Solanum lycopersicum: one gene and its partners. The protein of the gene in region 2 binds, or shares a complex with, the protein of the main gene of each other region. Links are inferred from orthologs where the notes say so. Each region holds a gene or a part of one and is shown on either strand. Other genes may lie near its edges.

Region 1 (3,703 bases), about 65 Mb from region 2:
CCTAGGAACCCTTATTATAGATGTACATATGCCAATTTCTTGTGGAACACGGGTGGCGAGGAAACTTGTTTCCTTCCAAGTAGTACTTCTTCTATCAATAACAAGAAGGGTGAAGAAGTTTAGTCGTAACAGAGAAAAATTGTTCAAGAAATGCATCAAACTAAGGAGAAAAATGGTGAGATTCCCTTATGCTTCTGGTAATTTTAACTACAGAGTGGAGAAGAAGTTCCTCAAGACGTCGATTTAAATCACATATTTGAATAAATACTAACGTGAATGATCGATCTATTGTGTTTTTTTTCTGTAGGGAAATGGCTATATTATTTGTTCTTGATTTTCTGTGTCTAGATTGAGTAGAGTGATTTGCATGGGAGCTGTTCACCACCACCAACAACAACATCTACGGTTCAGTACCAAACAAGTTGAGGTCGACTATATGAATCTGTACTGTCATAGTTCGAGGTCAATTTTGTGGTCGATAATAAGTGAATTGAGTTCTCAAATTTTTGTAGAGTAGGGTATTTCATCTTTTGACTGACTTGTTATTAATATATTTTTGTATTTTTGAGTGAGTTTGGTAAAAAAAAAATTATAATCAATTGGGAATGTCTTGTATGATTAATCATTGTGTTACTTCCTACATTGTATATCAACGTACATTTTTTTCTTTTTTCTTGTCTTTTAAGAAATATTAAAAATATTTATTTTTTTACTAATTTACTGTTATAATTATTTTTCATAAATTCTATTTTTTGTGTCTTTATCTGTTAATAACAAAAGAGGAACTTTACAATATTTATATTTTTAATCAAAAAGAGTCGATTTAAGGTGCAAAATGGAAAAAAATAGAATTAATTTTTTAATTTGACAAGTAATTTTGAATAAATATCTTTGTTAATGTAGACAAGTAGTCTGTCATAGAGGTGTACTATTATCTCATTACTTCTCTTAATTATTATATATGTTAAAATTTCTTTATGTATGTGATGAAATCTAACTATATTTATACTCCCTCCGTCTCATTTTGCAATTTATTTGTCTATTTTCACACATAAAAAAAGATAATTTTTTTTCTTATTATATTCTTATTTAAGCTTCCTGAAAATTTTTAAGTTTTAATTCATCTTTTTCGAAATCATAATTAATAAGGGCAAAATTGTAACTTCACTATTCTAATTATTGCTATATTAATATGTTTGTCATTTCTAAAATGGACAACTAAATAGGAACAGATAGAGTTTGAGATAACACTATTATTCCTTATTTCTCGTTCCAAACAATCCTTTTCAGGTCTCAGTTTATTGCTTGATATACTTTTACATAAAAAATAATTGATCTTCTGATAACTTGAATTCACAATTTTAAAGTTTAAAATGAATGGTATTTACCATCCAAGTAACTCTTAACGTTTTTTTTTTTAAAAAAAAAAAACAAGGAAAAATAAGTGAATTTTACCTTAATTCAGGGGTATTTGAATAAAAAAAAGACAAAGGGCACATTATCTAGAAACAGAATAAGAAGCTATAGAACCACCACAAATAAAATCTCAATTCTATCAGTTGAGCTGCTGCAATGGCGTCGTTGTTAGTTGGTTCAGTTCCTATGAGTACTGTTCAATCCATGGCTTCTCTTTCTCCTAATTTATCATTCTCTCGTTCTCACTCCGTCGCCGGCAGCGTTTCAATTACGGCGGCATCTCCTTCACCATCAATTTCGTTTTCGTCTCTCACTGATTCAAATCTCCCATTGGGTACGAATCACATACCTTTTCGAATTTATTGTTTGTGAAAATTTTGTGATGATTGAAGTTTCAGTTCGAGAAATTGAAATTTTGATTTGATTTCATTTTCAGTTTACTGCGGTAGAGGTGATAAGAAGACGGCGAAAGGCAAGCGGTTCAATCACTCCTTTGGCAATGTGAGTTTGTATATTTTGGTTTATTGCAGGATAAGACCTCCTTAATATGATTTAGTTTCAGATACACCCCTGTATATTTTATAAACAAACACTTACCTCCTCTATATTAGGAGAATCCTACACTAACATTCTAGTTTGATACGTGGAATAAGAATAATAATCTCGAAATAGAATTTGAGATTAAATTTATTGCATATTTGAGTTAAAGGTATTGGCTTAAAATAACGAGTGTATCGAAGATGAATAAATAATTCCATGAGATATTTAATGTATTTATGCCTTTAAATTTTAGAAAAGAGAAGTATGTGTTTTGTTGAAATTGATAAATAAGATATCAACACAAATTACTTAATATGAATAATTTTTTAACTCATATTTGATTAAATGAATGTTAATTCCATATAAAATGATTTATAGATTCACTTGGAATAAGATTATTGGTGCATAAGGTTTTGCATAATTAATGCAGGAGTTTAATGCTTTTAATATTATAGAATTTTATACTGAGATTCAATTGTTCATACATTTAGACGAATTGACCCCTAAAAAGTTTTGAAGTTTATTTTTGATTGCAACCTAGATGCATCTCGACTAATTTTATCAATAGATGGGATAAATTACCTAGTGTTATTTTGTCTCTGATAGAATTTGAACCTGAAACCTCATGATTCTCGACCCTCTTCGTTAACCACCAATGTTGATGATAGATTCAAAATAGTCTGTTAAATATGCTCTAACCAATTTTTAGTACTTTGAAGTTTAGAGTGTTATCATCATACGTTTAACAATTTATGTTCGTTAGATTTGACAGAAATAGTGAAAAAACAACAGTTGTTTCGACATTTTTTGTTGTTATTTTGAACTGATTCCGATGGTATGAATTGGTTTAGGCAAGGCCAAGGAACAAGAAGAAGGGAAGAGGACCACCTAGGGTTGCAGCACCACCAGCAGCACCAAAGAGAGATCCATTTGATGATGGCCAAGTCGTTAAAATTGAAATACATGACCCATAGTTTTCTCGGAGGAGCAATTTCATTTTTATGTAGCTCTAATCTTCTACTACTTTGTTTATTTCATTGAAATATCGATTAAGTTAATCATTTGGACTGAGATTTCTAGTTTGCTTGAAGGGTCTTCGTTTAAATGCTCTTGTGTCCTGTTAAATTATGCATTTTGGTTCTAGCAACCTTCAGTAGACAAGTGGTAATAGTCACTACTTTAGCTATTGAGAAAAGTGAAAAGCTTAGAGAACCCCACATTCCTTATGGGTTGAAAACCACGAGGTTTTAGGTTCATATACTAGCGGAGACAAACACATTAGGAGGTCTTTTTGTAGAGTGTATAAGAATAGTAATATATAGTGTATTACTAATGCTGGGATTAGTTATGTTGGAGCTATTTCCTACCCACTATTTGGTTTGATATATTATCAAGGGCACTTTGGCCTCGAACAAAGAAAGGATCAAAAAATGTCATAGCTAATACATCCTACCAAATGACCCCTAGGTGGTTCTTATTTAGACCTTCGTGGATAGAATTACTCCATATCTGTGCTGGTTGGAGGTAACCTTTACCTCGAAGAATTAGTCAAGATGTGAGTGAGCAAATCCAGTCACAAAAAAACTTCTTTTGTTTGGGTCACCAAGTTTGTCTGCGTCCACTATACAATCATAAACCAGCTTTACAGCAGGACACAAGTTGGATAAATAGAATTCACATACATATTGGTTGAAGAAAATGCTGATTTTGATGTACAGGTTAAGCTAAGGACAAATAACCAACTCTT
Region 2 (3,804 bases):
CTACATCGTCGTCAATAATGCTAGTGTGAGGTAACAAGTAAGTAGTGAAATACGTGTAAATTGATCTGAACATCATCACTATTGAAAAACAGAAGTCATGGTCTTCAAGAAACCTGAGAAAAGTGAACCTTCTTGAGTACTAAAGGGGTGGGACTTAACTTTCATGCTCATGCATGTGACAAAAAGGTGCCACAAACTCTATGCTTTTAGTTAATTCTCAAAATGACCTAACGAGTCATTACATTAACAATGCTATGACTCAAATTGTAAAACTTTGGTATCACATTAATGCAAATACTTGGCCCAAACACATTACTGAACTTGAAGCTTAAACCAAGGCTCATAGATAGGGACTGCACTTCATAGGTCGTTACATCAACAATTATTATGACACCTAACGTAACTTAACAAACCTTTCTCCTGTCAACCAAATCATCCAATCAGAATAACGTAAATTCGCAATTACTCCACATGAAACACATTTAACAAGATTTAAGGAAGAGATTATGCCTAAGCATCAACATTCTTCTTGAAAAGCTCTTATCTTGAAATGTAGAAAAATGATTTCAATGGAAAAAACTGTTTATAACAAACAAATGCACAGTTTGCCATAGGAATATAGAGTGTAACTTTTACAAGTTAGTTACCAAAAGAAATGAAAAATCGATCTTGATTTAACGAGGTGCCTTCTTCTTCCCTGCAATTGCTACTTTCTTGCCCTTCAAAGTACGGCAATTGTTCTTTGTTCGTTGTCCTCTGCAAGGCAATCCTTGGATGTGCCTTACTCCTCTATAGCACTGAATCTCCTTCAACCTCCTAATGGCAAGAGCATTGAATCTCCTCTGATGCCAACACCACAAGTATGTAATCAATTTTCCCGTTTCAAATAGGAAGCCGAAGCATCAATCAAACAAACAACCTTATACACAAGAATCTCAATCAACATTGCCAATTGCTAAACAAGCTATCGATTTCTTCTGAAATACATTTCCATAAGAACTGTTTAATTTGGGATAAGGCTGTGATGCATATAGAAGCCATGATCCTACATACCCACCTAACAATAACTCCCCTTGTTTCGATTTGTTTGTCCGGATTTGACTTGACACAAAGTTTAAGAAAGTAAAGAAGATTTTTCGATCTTCTGGTTTTAATCTCAAGATATGTAGAATGCAGTTTCAGCTCAAATATGGTTCTTTCCATGTAAAAGTTGGACCAAAGATTGGTTTAAGATATTGTTTTTTTGGTTCAATTCCTATCTTGAGACAAAATGAATTAAATTTCTTAGAACCCCAAATGGCATTAAGTTAAACTATAGAGCTAAAATAAACAGCAACCACAGCAAAGTTACATGAACTAGATATCGAAATCAAATTACCTAAGCATATAAGTTTCAATAAGGATATGCACATTGGAACGAAAACAAATGAGTACAAATTAGAGCAATGAAACTCACAAGGTCTCCTTCAATCATGTACTTAGAGACTTCTTCACGAAGAGTGATAAGTTCCTCTTCCGACATGTCTTTCATCACTTTGTTCTCCATTTGAAGGTCTACCAGAATCTGGCGTGCAGTGGTGCGGCCAATTCCATGAATGTATTGCAAAGAGAACTCAACTCTTTTGTTGTTTGGAACTTCCACTCCTCCCACACGCACACACTTTATAACCAAACCTGCAGTCTACACAAAACTCATTTCAGTTCAAACTCAAAATCATGGAAAATTTAGCAAAACCCAATTTAATTCCAACTCAAAAAAGTCCAAAAATATGAAAAATAAGCAAACCTCAATTCAATCCCACCTCAAAAAAACGGAAACTTTAGCAAAAAAAACTCATGTTGGGTTACTGAGAAAATTTCGAAAAATCCAAAAACTCATTCCAATTCCTACTCAGGTAAAAAAAAAAGTAATCTTTAGCAAAACCCATGTTTGGTTACTGAGAAAATTGCGAGAAAAAAAAAGACAAACCCCATTCCAATTCCTACACGAAAAAGGTCAAAAAATGTAAACTTCAGCAAACTCCATGTTTGATTACTGCAAATTTCAAGAGAAGGGAGTGAAGTGTACCTTTGGAAAAGATGTGGGAGTAGAAAAAGAGAGGGAACTGTGCTTGGAGATGGAAGATGTGTTGCAGATAAGGGAAAGAGAAGGAAGTACAGGAGTTGCTAGTGTTTGCGCCATTGTTGAAAATCTTGATTGATGAAGAAATTGAAGAAGGAAGAAGATAGAGCCTTTTGCTGGTCTATTTTTCTTATCCTATTGGGGAAAATTGGATAGGGAATGGAGTTCTTCTTTTCGACCTGGTTTGCTAATATGGAGCCCCGGTTGTTCTTTTTTTTTTTTTTTTAAATTTTATTTTATTAATATGGTATTCGGGCTAGTTTTCATGCACTCGACTAAATTCACCGATGTCTATCATACTGTCACCTCCCAATAAGGATGTGGAAAAATCGAATCGATCAATAAACCTATTAAAAAAATGTTATTGGGTTATTGAATTATTGAGTTAATGGATTTTTAACGGATCTATAAAGGGTTTTTGATTAGGTATCAATTTTTAGTATTTGGTTATTGGATGAATCGATAACTCATTAAGACGATAGTAATTTATTACTATGCACTTTATAAATATTATTAATAATTTAACATAACTAGACATTATATCAGTACTCTACACATTTTACACGTCACATTACTTCTATTTTACATCTGAAATTTCATATTATGTTTTGGTTGTAACATGTAATTGTAGCCTTCGTATTACATCTAATTGAAATGAAGAAAATATTAGCTTTACAAAGAAATCTCTACATTTCATTTCTGATATCGCTCTTTTTATCTAAGGCCTAACCTAAATTTGGGGCGATAGAAATGCGAGTTGAAAATAAATTTACATGATCACTTACCAATTGAATAAAAAGAAAATTGATCTTTTAAAATTTTGTAGGCATAAAAATAAAGATCTCTCATGGGCAACAATAAAAAATTCTTATAAACAACATAAGATTAGAAGTGGTTATAAAATAATAAAGCAAGAACAAGAAGAATATTTTAGAGAAAATTAGAGAGAACCTATTTTTAAAGTAAAGAATTTTATAAATTTTAATACTCCATTAATTTAGTAATTTTAATATTATAAGATTATAACTAATAAATTTCATGACTTACTAATCCTATAAATTACATCTTAATGGGTACTTCAAACGATTCTTATGAGTTGTGAGTAATTTACTTTATAAATTCCTAAAAATAAAACACCTTCCAATTGCAAAATCCTACGAATTTGCTAGCAATAACTAATAACTGTTTATGCGGCATTATAAATAGCAACTTAATTGCCACCCATTGAAAAAATTAAAATTTATCCATATTAGATGTTTATCGCAAATAAATAAATGCATAATATGTATATGTATTGAAACATACACAATAATTTTAATTTATGATTAATTAACATGTATTTCTACTTTATTAAATCATTAAATTTAATTTATTTTTAAATATAAATTGTGGCGTAATGATGAAATTGTGTCACCCTTAATCAGATGTTTCACGTTTAAAATCTTAGGTATGAGGAAAGTTTTGCTGGGAGTGCCACTCTTGAATGAGTCCACAATGCGCCGCGATCAGAATTTGTCGGGGCTCTAATTAATTGCAAGTTCAAGCCCTAGGTATCAAGAAAATTTTGTTAGGAACGTCACTCTTGAATAAGTCCGCAGTGCGTGATCCGAATTTAGTTTGAGCTCTAACTGCAGGTTCGAGCCCTAGTTAAGAAGAATACTTTGTTAGGAGCGTCACTCTTG
Region 3 (3,783 bases), about 3.1 Mb from region 2:
GAGCACGATTCCTGCAAATTTTCAAGTAACAAAAAGTCGATAAGCTTTAGAATCTGTAAATTAAGATTACAACTACGAAAATATTCAATTCTGTTATCCGGCGAGAGAAGTTACCTTCAGTGTTATCTGCTTTAGGAGCCATGGATTGGAGAATTCACAGAGCGCGGGAAAAAAAACTTCTGTCAAAATTTCTGTACTTCGAATTCACAGGAAACATTGGGCACGAAGGCCTTTATACGATGTCGTAGTTGAACATCGCGGGAACTTACCCTTAGTATAGCCACTAATTACGAAAAGAGGATTCTTCCATCGCAAGTTTCAAGTGAGAGTTGCCATAGAGCCCATGGGCCTTGTTAGGATGAACCAACCCAACTAGAGAGACTTTACGGGCTTTTAGTTCATAATAAAGTCCAAATATAACGGGCGGTGGAAGATGAACAATCGCTAAAAAATATATTGAATTAAAAGAAAACAAAATCGGCCATGGTTTCAATTTTGTGCGTATAAAACTTGTTGATACTATCTTCATTTCACCTATCTTATTAAATTATTCACAAATTTTGATTATCTTATCGTCCAGTCAGAACACATTAAACAATTTAAAAAATGAAACAAAAATGATTCCAATTGTATTCTCCATCAACTATAGTACAGTTAAAAATAAGATAAAACAAAAACAGAAAGTTGAAACAATTTGTCTACAAATAAATACCAAAAACAACAATTAGGTCAAATTTCCACCACTCTGCTGCCACAAATTGATAATATCAGTAGCTTGATTAAGCAAAATAATCATTTGCTTTTGTGATATCCATGGCTTACTCTCTAGTGTTGTTTTCAACTCTTCCCATGCATCTTTTCTAGGCCAAAAAAAATATGGACTTAATGGTACACTTCCATGGTCTGGTAAAACTTGATCAAGGCCAAGTCCAATATTTTTCTCCATCCATATGAATTTTAGCACTAGCCTTGGCTTCTCAATTACCTTTTTCTTCATATCAACTTTCTGAAAAAAATATATCCAAGAATTCACTATAAGATATCAAAACATAATATCCTATCCTTTTTTGGGCTTATTATTTATATAGTCGTACGTATCTGGAATGAATTATGTGCATTCAACTGAACTTCTTATTTTCATCTTTAATAATGTAGACGTTTCAATACGAGTTTGAGTATTTGACACGGGTGGAAGTCAGAGATTGGATTTTGTCATAGGCGTATCTAGCTAGGATGAGTTAAATGTGTTCAAGTGTTCAACTGAATCTGTTATTTTTGGGTCAATATGTACATACATTATGTTGTTTTGGTACGGGTGCAAGTATATGACACAAATGTTTGATCTAGAGGTTGAATTCATCATCACTAAAATTTTAGGGCTCGAGGGTACGAATTGATATATCTAGTTTTTGTCGAAACATAACTTATATTTATAGGTAATGCTATAATTTAACTCCATTTTTGTTCTGTTTTTAGCTAAATGATCAATATATTTCCCCAATTATGCCTTTTTTTTATTAATTAAAACATTCATAAATTTGCTAGTTATTACTCATTTTCATTAAGAAGTTGTTGGACTACCATTTCATATTTAGAAAAGTCGAACAACACAGTACGTGTTAAATAATCATAGTAAAAGTGAATTCAAAGACTTAAAAATTCTAGATTTGTCGTATATATCAAATGATTCTAAAATATTACTATATTATCCTTTGAATATAAATTTGATGCTTTGGAAAATGTATTATATATTGAATAGTAGTATTCAATATCAAGGGTTTTCATGTTTTTCAAATTGGACAAGTATTGTTAGACGACTATTTTTAATATAATGACCAAGTAAAGATGGATTGAGGGAGTATTTACATTCTTAAATTACGTATCAAGTCAAAATCAGACAAAGATTACTCAATTTTACTAGTGAGAAGTAACACTACCATTCATGAAATTAATTGAGTAGCGCAAAAACTAATCTAGACACTAAGTTATCGAAAAAAGTTACCTAATTGAAAATTAAAGAGCTGATTTTTTACCTCAATTTCTTGAACAACAGACTCTGAAGTCTCAACTTCAACTGATTCTGCTTCTGCAACTGCTGAAGCAAAAATCTTATGAATTCTTCTTGTTGATAAACCTTTGTTGTTAAAAGATAATGAAGAACATGATTTGAAGGATTTATAACCTGGATTTTGTGAAGGTAAAGAAGGGATACTCAAATTGCCTTTCAAGCTAGATTGAACAGACATTGATAACATTTTTTGTGTAGATAAAAAAAATATTTGTCTAGTGATGAAAAAAAGTGAAGTGGGAAAATTGTGGCCTTAAAAAGAGTGTGTATAGAGAATTTGAGATAATGATAGAATGGATAAGGTAATAGAAGAAAAAAAATGAAAGTTGTTTAAATTGGGCTAAGAGGCCTATGGGTGAGGACTTTGGTCATGTTATGGGATTTGGGCCCAAAAGAAATATGATCATTAGTTATCATAGCTTTACTAATTTTGTATATTTAGCAACGTTGAGTTGATTCGGGATGTCAAACGAGCGGATTGAACAATTTTTTGAGAGTTAAAGTTGTGTTGATAAACGAGTGGTATCGATTTGTTTGAAGATTATAAATTTGAGATAAGATGGGTTAGTATTTTGTCGTAGTCTAATATGTTCAACTTTTATCAAGTTTACAATTCTTAGTAGACAAAACTTATGAGTATCAGATTTTTATAGATTAATTTTGTCATCCCTAATCAAATTGATCAATATTATCTGATTATTCAAAAAAAAGTAGAATGTATCTCATGGGTGAAGATTGTTCGTGCTTCTCAAATGTTACGTACTTTTTTAGGTCATTAGTCAGCAACTCTCTCGACAATGACTTCACATTACTTTTTTAACACGTCTATCATTATTATTTTTAGAAAATCATTTTTTGAGATAGATGTTGCGCCTTGAACATGTGGATGAGTGTGATATATGTATGCCTCTTTGACTATTCGTGAAATTAAATCTCTAATATTAACAAAAGAGGGGCATATTAAGAATGTCCTAGAGCTACATTCTTTCTTATTGGTATTAATAAAAAGCCATCTTTTTAATAAGATCTGAAAAAAAATTGAAAATGAAGTTCATATATCATAAATATTTTTCTTTCAATGTCATTTTCTACATAATTAGTAAAAGAGACGACTTTTGATATATATGTCCATGCGTACTACTCATTCAAGTTTATGAAGAAAAAACATTACTTGAGCTGAATTTTATGATATTGACAAAATCATATAATAAAAAAATAATAATATTAATATTAGTCATATTAATTATGAAGTGATCAAAATGAGTTGCAAATTTGAAGAAACCACTAATTCAATTCATACTTATAATTTGCCCTTTACATACACAAAAAAGTATATTTTTATGATCAATGTGACGCTTGGTTTTATTTTTCCTAAGAGCTAATATTGGGCTAGAGGTGTCGTATCCCGGAAGAACGGAGATTGATGATGATATCGTACATTGCATAATTGAAATGGACTGGATAAAATGAAGGTTCGTACTAGGGTACTATGTGATAAGGATGTGTTGTCAAGTCGTAAATGTAAGTTCTACAGAATGATGATAAGAACAACGTCAAATGAATGAGTTGAATTGAATTTAAATGAGTCAAAATGAGTTGAGTTAATAAATAGACTGATCAGAAGTTATTTAAGTTTGAGATAGTGCATGTCATAACCCAATCCACCAAATTCTTATTAAAAACATTTTTCTAACTACATTTTTTTATACATAAAA

The links.
Region 1: 30S ribosomal protein S13 (region 2) and small ribosomal subunit protein bTHXc share a complex: the UniProt entries of both Arabidopsis thaliana proteins name them as parts of the 30S ribosomal subunit. The link is inferred for Solanum lycopersicum from reciprocal best matches to the Arabidopsis thaliana genes EMB3137 and PSRP4.
Region 3: 30S ribosomal protein S13 (region 2) and small ribosomal subunit protein cS23 share a complex: the UniProt entries of both Arabidopsis thaliana proteins name them as parts of the 30S ribosomal subunit. The link is inferred for Solanum lycopersicum from reciprocal best matches to the Arabidopsis thaliana genes EMB3137 and PSRP3/1.

What each region holds. Positions count from the first base shown.
Region 1 is NC_090804.1:66,172,009-66,175,711, forward strand, and holds small ribosomal subunit protein bTHXc, read left to right. Parts: upstream 1-1,349; 5' UTR 1,350-1,572; coding exon 1,573-1,750; intron 1,751-1,852; coding exon 1,853-1,917; intron 1,918-2,807; coding exon 2,808-2,930; 3' UTR 2,931-3,061; downstream 3,062-3,703. Other genes in the region: uncharacterized protein, read left to right, coding at 1-123.
Region 2 is NC_090804.1:939,331-943,134, reverse strand, and holds 30S ribosomal protein S13, read right to left. Parts: upstream 2,262-3,804; 5' UTR 2,183-2,261; coding exon 2,069-2,182; intron 1,682-2,068; coding exon 1,457-1,681; intron 843-1,456; coding exon 675-842; 3' UTR 565-674; downstream 1-564. UniProt on the Arabidopsis thaliana protein: Located at the top of the head of the 30S subunit, it contacts several helices of the 16S rRNA.
Region 3 is NC_090804.1:4,043,168-4,046,950, forward strand, and holds small ribosomal subunit protein cS23, read right to left. Parts: upstream 2,343-3,783; 5' UTR 2,256-2,342; coding exon 2,034-2,255; intron 1,007-2,033; coding exon 725-1,006; 3' UTR 608-724; downstream 1-607. Other genes in the region: homologous-pairing protein 2 homolog, read right to left, coding at 1-11, 115-142. UniProt on the Arabidopsis thaliana protein: Component of the chloroplast ribosome (chloro-ribosome), a dedicated translation machinery responsible for the synthesis of chloroplast genome-encoded proteins, including proteins of the transcription and translation machinery and components of the photosynthetic apparatus.